2 linked regions of the Bombyx mori genome follow. The protein of the gene in region 1 interacts with the protein of each later gene in a biochemical or structural test. Links are inferred from orthologs where the notes say so. Each region holds a gene or a part of one and is shown in the gene's direction. Other genes may lie near its edges.

Region 1 (3,750 bases):
ACCCTCTCATCGTGGCCGCCGGTAACTACATTCCCGATCCTGCGGACAGAATGGAAAGCAGTCGACGTCGCCCAAAACACGTCATCTCGGATCCTCCCGATCCACTAACGGTGCTTTTAGGTACTTCAAGCACCGGTCACCGTTCTCGTCGAACCCGTCGCTTGCGACGAAGGGCTCGGCGAGTAAATTAACTCTCAGACACAGCCCACTGAGTTTCTCGCCGGATCTTCTCAGTGGGTCGCGTTTCCGATCCGGTGGTAGATTCTGCGAAGCACGGCTCTTGCTAGGGTTCGTGTTAGCAACGTCATCAGGTTTGAGCCCCGTGAGCTCACCTACTAGCCACGGTTACGCTGAAATAGCCTCTAAAGACTATCAGCTTAGGTAGGAAAAAAAAAAAAGCAATCGATGCCAACTCAGTGACAGACCTCAGTAAACCTTTATTGTTGAAAAAATTTGTAAGGCTTTCGTTTCGTCGTAGTTTCGTTGGAAATAATCAAAGTTAATTCAAACTGTGCTAAAAAATAATAATATAAGTATGGATGAAGGTACAAATAATTACTTTTTTTTTATATACCACATTTAAAATGTGAATACAATTTCATTTTAGAATTCGAATCTGTAAACAAATTAATTTTACAGGTATATACTTTTGTAAACATTGCAATGATCATCATGAACTTAGCGCACTCTGCTGATGCATTTGAAAACTAATTCACGTTCCAATTAAGCTTCAGCATAATTCGGCATTGTGTGCCACTGAGTCGCATTGTGCTCTGTAATTGGAAAACTACTACTGTATGCGCGCGAGTTCATGTCCATCGGGGCCAGAGGCGATGCGCGGGGGACAGCTCGCCCCACCTTCGCCCGCCTCCCCGCGTTTGTCTGACGTCGAGTGTTGTTCTGACGGTTGTGACGCGAGCTTATCGATGTCATAATTTAAACTAACGCTATTATGTCATTTAACCATAACTACTCCGCTTCCAACAAGTTCAGATAGAAAAAAACCTACTGAAAAAAGATACATACTGACTCCGACTCTGATCTGTCGGTTGTCTTTTCATTTGATAGTGATTAAATTGAAATTTAAAGAATATTTTTCTCTATTAGAAATAAACAAGTAATTAGTTATCACATTTATTTTATTTCATAAATTGCAAAATTACCTTAAGTTACATTTAACCAAATTGACAGCTGTTGACTAAATCGGTAGTTATTATCGACATTACCATAATTAACTAGGTCACAGCACTACCGCATTCCTCAGGATGCACATGAACTCGCGCGCCTACAGTAATGTGTTTAATAAGTGTTATTGTTTGTGTAGTGCGCCACTGAGGGTGCGTTCGAGTGCGCCCGCGCCGTGTACGGGTACGCGCTGTCCGTGTTCCCGTCCAAGAAGTCCATCTGGCTTCGCGCCGCCTACCTGGAGAAGCAGCACGGGACTCGCGCCAGCCTCGAGACGCTGCTGCAGCGGGCCGTCGCGCACTGCCCCAAGTCGGAGGTGCTGTGGCTCATGGGCGCCAAGTCCAAGTGGCTCGCAGGTCAGGGACGATTTATCGATCCGTTCGTTCCGTTCCAGTAACACGTTAGAAGTCGACGTGGCTTAAAGTCGACGTCCGGTGCATTCGTATGTAGCGATGCACCGGTGTTCAAATCCCGCTGGCGGGTACCAATTTTTCAATGAAAGACGTACTTCAGAAATCTTCACGATTGACTTGCACGGTGAAGAAATAATATCGTGTAATTACTGATGGTAGGACCTCTTGTAAGTCCGCACGGGTAGGTACCACCACCCTGCCTATTTCTGCCGTGAAGCAGTAACGCGTTTCGGTTTGCAGGGTGGGGCAGCCGTTGTAACTAACTATACTGAGACCTTAGAAATCAAATCTCAAGGTTGGTGGTGGCGTTTCCGTTGTAGATGTCTAAGGGCTCCAGTAACCACACTTAACACCAGGTGGGCTGTGAGCTCGTCCACCGACCTAAGCAATAAAAACGTAAAGACGAATGTTGCCCATCTCTCTGCCCGTCGGCTCTGTAAGGGCAGTTTGATACGTTTATAGATTTTGAGAGCACTCACACAAAATGAAGTGCTGTAGATGACACGACTTTCGAATTATTTTTCAGTTCAATTTGATTTATTTATTGCTGGCGTGCGGTCCCCTACGATGGTTGTTACCGTCGTAGTAAATTTTCTCAAAATTCGAATATGACAATAAGTACATATAGTCTACTATACATAATATATAGATATTAAAGACCCAAATATAGAGCATACAAACTTGTTTATAACGCGAGAGCTGACCCAATGCTGAAATCGTCACCAACACCCTCAGCAGTTCGGGTCGCTAACCACAGCACCACCGATTGGGTCTATTTGAATAAACCAATCATTAATGTTTCGTTTAGGCGACGTACCGGCGGCTCGGGGTATCCTGTCGCTGGCCTTCCAGGCCAATCCCAACTCTGAAGAGATCTGGTTGGCCGCCGTCAAACTGGAGAGCGAGAACAAAGAGTACGACAGAGCGAGACGGCTGCTGGCTAAAGCTAGGGCTTCAGCTCCCACACCGAGAGTAAGTTTTTTTTTCCTACCTATGCTGATAGCCTTGAGAGGCTATCTCAGCTTTATCCTAGCGTGTAGGTGAGCTCTCGGGGCTCAAACCGGAGGTGTTGCTAACACTGGCCCTAGCAAGAGCAGTGCTTCCCAGAATCTGCCACTGAGAGGATCCGGCGAGAAACTCAGTGGGCTGGTGTAAGTTAAATCAACATTAATATTGTAAGATTCGTCTGTTCGTACTCTGCAATTATGAGACCCACTCTAGGGAGGTCATAGGTCCCCCTCCCCCCGACCGACTAGTGGCGTTTAGCTCTTATTTCACAAGAGTTATAGCTTAATGTCTTTTGACGTCAATTTTTTCGGTGTAAGAACCGATTTTAATGCTTTATTTTGTTTGTTACATTTGATGAATGACGGAAACATTTCTGAAGATGTTTATTTAAAAACATTTACTTAAAGGGGTTCTTGTGAGGCTACACGAGGAATTACCGCCTCCCTGTCTATTTCTGCCGTTAAACAGTAACGCGTTTCGGTTTGAAGAATGAGGCAATGGATGTACTATAAAAACTGATATAGAATAAGCTCGTCTACACGTCGAAGCAATAAATAAAAAAACGATTTCTATTTATTTACTTTTTTAGGTGATGATCAAATCAGCGAAACTAGAATGGGCATTGAACAATCTGGACGTAGCCATAAAGTTACTGGACGAAGCGATCAAAGTGTTCGGGGACTACGCAAAGCTTCACATGATGAAGGGACAGATTGAGGAACAAATGGCCAAGGACGAAGACGCTCACAACACATATAGTCAAGGGGTGCGTATATAATCTTTAATATCTATAATCTAAATAATCTTTTTTTGTTATGATTGAACTTGTATTAGCACCAATAATGCGATGTTTTAATTGGACTTCTAACTTTACTGGTGGTAGAACATCTTGTGAGTCCGCACGGCGTTAATGCATTTCGGTTTGAAGGGTGGGGCAGCCGTTGTAACTATATTAGACCTTAGAACTTATATCTGAAGGTGGGTGGCGCATATACGTTGTAGATGTAGATGGGCTCCAGTAACCACTTAACATCAAGTGAACTGTGAGCTCGTCCACCCATCTAAGCAATAAAAAATAAATAAATAAAAATAAGTTCACTCCATTCAAATAACTGAAGAAGCTTTATGTTATGATATTTTACCC
Region 2 (4,281 bases), on another chromosome or scaffold:
GTAAACAATTGCGCAGTAGACTCAGCGATCCTATACTCCCCCCAATTTATTTGGATGGGACTCAAATAACTCTAACCGATTCAGTTAAAAACCTGGGTGTATGGATCGACATCTTTCGTGGAGTTCTCACGTTGCTGAGATTAGTAGGAAGGTGCACTTCGCCTTGCACTCGTTGAGATGTCTGCAGGGCTTCTTACCTCAGCATACAAAAATATCTCTCGTCCAAGCTCTCATTCTACCCATAATTGATTACGCCGATGCCTGCTACTTGGATGCCACTGAGGAGCTCTCAAACAAGCTTGAGAGGATGCAAAATCTATGTATCCGTTTTATATACAATCTCAGAAAATTCGATCATGTTTCACATTTTCGCAAAGAACTTAAATGGCTCCCTATACGCCTTCGTAGGAATACTCGAATATTATGTCTCCTATTCAATATCCTACATAAGCCCACTTCTCCCTTATATTTACGTGAGCGATTCTCTTTCATTCGTTCTCCTGATGCTCCCTGCAGGTCCAACCAACGTTCTGTTTTGTTATTCCCTTCTCACAAAACCAATTTCTATTCTCACTCCTTTACTGTGCACGCGGTCAGACTGTGGAATTCGTTGCCGGCTGACATCCGAGTTTGCAAGTCTGTTTCTGTTTTTAAATACAAGGTCAAACAATTTTATCTCTCATCAACCGAGTGATCATGGTTCTATACTCTTCGTATATACGAGTGTTACTGTGACTTATAATATTTTGTACTCAAGTTTAACAATATTTGGTATGTGTAAGTGCATTACTATAATTCTCATGTTGTATTTGTTGTTTTAGTTATGTATTATTTGTTCTACACACACTTATCACTTTTTATTATTATTCTCATTATCCTCTCGCAGGTTTGCTGGAAGAGATTTCTTAAAGAAATAAGCAGTGCCTTTGTACATAATTTTCCTATTACTCTGTACTATGTCTTTTTTTCTGTGTGTACATAAATAAATAAAATAAATAAATAAGTTATTCCTTCACCGTGGAAGTCAATCCAGAATATTAGTTGAGTATGTATTTCATTAGAAAAATTGGTACCCACCTGAGATTCGAACACCGATGCATCACTCAACACGAATGCACCGAACGTCTTATCCTTTAGGCCCCGACGACTTTTTTATCAAGGTATGTTGCTTAACACTCAGCTAAGCAGTTTCCCTGGCGAAAGTCGACGAAATGCGGTTTGAAGTGCTTGATCTTTTTTTTTGGACTGGGGGCCGAACTTTCTAGGAATACCCCGCCCCTAGGGGCGCATGGGGTATGGGAGTGAACCGCGGGCCTTCTTTTTGTTTTTTTTTAACGCTGTAGAATCCGTACGGTTACCCGGTTGAGGGGGCTTACTGACCGCTACGACTCCACGAAACCCACAATACCGCGCCGAAAGTCCGCCTTCGCCGGTACCGCGGGCCTAAAGGATAGAATTTAGGGCCATACCCACTACACAACTCCCCTGCACTCTCGCCCAATCGTCTGATACCCTTCCAGGTCAGAACCCGGGTGAGGTAAAGGGGTTATCGCGGTCAACACTACAGACAGCGCAGCTCCCCCGAGGACGTCCGGTCGACGGAGCCTTTGAGACGGAATGCTCTACAGCCGTCAGCCGTCTGGGTACGATAGCCCGTCAGGCCACCCACACAGTGCGACTGGAGTCCCGGAATACCCCGCTGGACTAGAACCAGGCTGTCGGGTCGGGATGCGATACATCGCCAACCGGTTGCTCTTTTTTCACGTTGATTGTGTAATTCTTCGGTAGCGCACTACAGTGCTTCAGCTGAAGCAACATCTATTTTTTTCTAATCCAAAAGTGTGACAGTTTTTTTTCGCAAAATAACTCCCGAGTGCTATTTAAACAGTTTGTACAGACAGTTGTTTGTTTGTTAAATAAATACATATACATAAATATATACATATAAAAATGTGTATATATAAATAAATATCAATTAGATGACTCTGCTAACTCTTAGCAGAGTCATCTAATTGATTCTAAGTACTCGAAACCTTGTCTTAAACTCTGGCCGACCTTATTTTAAGTGGGAGCGCATTCCATAGAAGAATAGATTGAATAGTGAAGGAAGAATGTAAAAAGTCCGAACTACCTGCGAACTAACAGCGAAGAAGAAGATTGTGAGATGAACGAAGATTTTGGCTGTAGTCAAACCCTAAGTATTCAGGTGGATTTGGGAAGTGCAACAAAGAGTAAAGAGTACTGAGAGCACGCAAGCTACGGCGTTGTCGAATGGGGAGCAATTTGAGTTGGGAGCGATGAGAAGATACATGATCGTATTTCCGAAGATTATAAATAAATCGAATGCAGTTATTGAGAAGCCGGTTAAGTTTATTGAGTAGATCTGCATTCAGGTCAAAGTAGCACACATCACCATAGTCGATCATGGGGAAGATCAAAGTTTAAACGAGCATTGTCTCTTGGTTTCGGGCGGAAGGATATTGTTCAGGCGGTAAAGCATACGGAGTGTAAGTGTAACTCACTGACACACGGAGATGACCTGGGCTCGCCAACTCAGGCTGGAGTCAATAAGTAGGCCTAGGTCCTTTACAACCGAACACCAGTTGATGGTTAAGCCAGCATATATTATTTGATAATAATATAAGACGACTGTGATATAAAAACTTTATTTAGTGTTTGAGCCATCATATATATTAACGGTAAGTCTCAATTGTTATTGGTTTTAATGTTTTTTGATAATTTAAAAATACATATTAAAATTGTTATGTTTGGGGTTAATGGGGTCACCTGAGCTACAAATAACAATGAAAGGGAGGTCAATTGGGACGACAATAAGTTGAATGGGAACGACTTAAGTATAAATACGTACAGGATTGTAGGGTTGTCTATGTAGTTATAACAATCTTTTTTAAACGTGTTGGTAAGAATCTCATTTATTCATGATGTTTTTGTCTAAAACTTTTATTTAATTATTAGTGCAATTATATTTATATTATCAGTTACGTATTGTTTTCTATTTTTAGATATGCCTCGCGTGTATGTATCAAAGAGTGCAAGCTTTATAAGAGATATGATCCCTTAATATTAAAAACAGCAATAGAAGACTATGAATTTGGGAATAAGTCTTTAGTTGAAATAGCTAAGCAATTTAATATAAGTAAGTCGGTTTTGCACAGATATATAACAATTAAATCTCAAAGTGGACAAAAATGTCTAAGTAAAGAAGAAGAAAAATACAGTTACACACATATTAAACAGTTAATAAACCACCATTATTACATATCTAAACCCGAAGAAACACTAAATAGACAAAATAAAACAAATCACACAACTTCACCCCTCGCGTTCCCGCCAAAAAGTCCTAAAACCAAACATCGTAGTCATAGACATAGATTATACACTTAAATATTCGAGTCATTGATACACATAATAAAATTAATAATTGAGATTTGAGACCATACCTTGATAGACATAAAAACATTGATTTCATTGATAGCGTACCTAACACACGGCAACAGACACACAATCACAATTAAGAAGAGGTACCAACCGTGTACCAACCTAGTTGAATCTGATTCACTCAATTTGAGTTCACCTATTCAAGAAAAGGCGCCCAAAATATTATTAGGGTGAGGATGAGTAAAACTTTGCTTAGTGTTCAATGATAATTTAGGAATGTGCCTATAGTTTAAAGTCTTTGTTAGATAAACCCAAATATTTTTTAATGTTTTTAATTAAAATTTGTTCCTTTTAGTTACTTTACCAAAATGTCAAAGCGTCCCGCTTCCGAAGCATTAATAGACGAAGTAAAAAAGGCCACGAAGGATGGCAAGAAACATTCCTTGGATTCCGACGAAGAAGATAGTGGTGCTGAAGAAGAGAAGAATAATGTTATGAACTCCAATGATATTGAAGGTGAAGAGGAAGGAACTGGTGGAATGGAAGGTGAAGTGAGTAGAATAAGTCAAAAACCTAATCAGAATACTCAAATTGTTGTGAGAATTAAAAAATGTTTCTTTTTCCAAACAATACTTAAAATGCTTTTGAGGATAATTCAGCTAATTTAATATTAACAACTTAATTAATACTTATAACTATCAAATAAAATATTAATTTCATTAATTAGTACTATTTTATAGATTACAATAACACCTTTTAACATGAAAGAAGAACTTGAAGAAGGGCATTTTGATACACAAGGACATTACCATTGGAAAAAAGAAAAAGAAATTCGTGATGGATGGCTTGATAACATTGACTGGGTTAAAGTAAAAGGTAGAC

The links. The genes of interacting proteins can lie anywhere in the genome.
Region 2: the proteins of pre-mRNA-processing factor 6 (region 1) and CD2 antigen cytoplasmic tail-binding protein 2 homolog form a complex in vitro, tested with the Homo sapiens proteins (2 studies listed by BioGRID and IntAct). The link is inferred for Bombyx mori from reciprocal best matches to the Homo sapiens genes PRPF6 and CD2BP2.

What each region holds. Positions count from the first base shown.
Region 1 is NC_085109.1:9,946,447-9,950,196, forward strand, and holds part of pre-mRNA-processing factor 6, read left to right. Parts: intron 1-1,324; coding exon 1,325-1,541; intron 1,542-2,406; coding exon 2,407-2,570; intron 2,571-3,195; coding exon 3,196-3,372; intron 3,373-3,750. UniProt on the Homo sapiens protein: Involved in pre-mRNA splicing as component of the U4/U6-U5 tri-snRNP complex, one of the building blocks of the spliceosome.
Region 2 is NC_085111.1:10,749,694-10,753,974, reverse strand, and holds the start of CD2 antigen cytoplasmic tail-binding protein 2 homolog, read left to right. Parts: upstream 1-1,247; 5' UTR 1,248-2,699; intron 2,700-3,023; 5' UTR 3,024-3,157; intron 3,158-3,383; exon of another isoform or gene 3,384-3,629; intron 3,630-3,754; 5' UTR 3,755-3,767; coding exon 3,768-3,950; intron 3,951-4,139; coding exon 4,140-4,281. UniProt on the Homo sapiens protein: Involved in pre-mRNA splicing as component of the U5 snRNP complex that is involved in spliceosome assembly.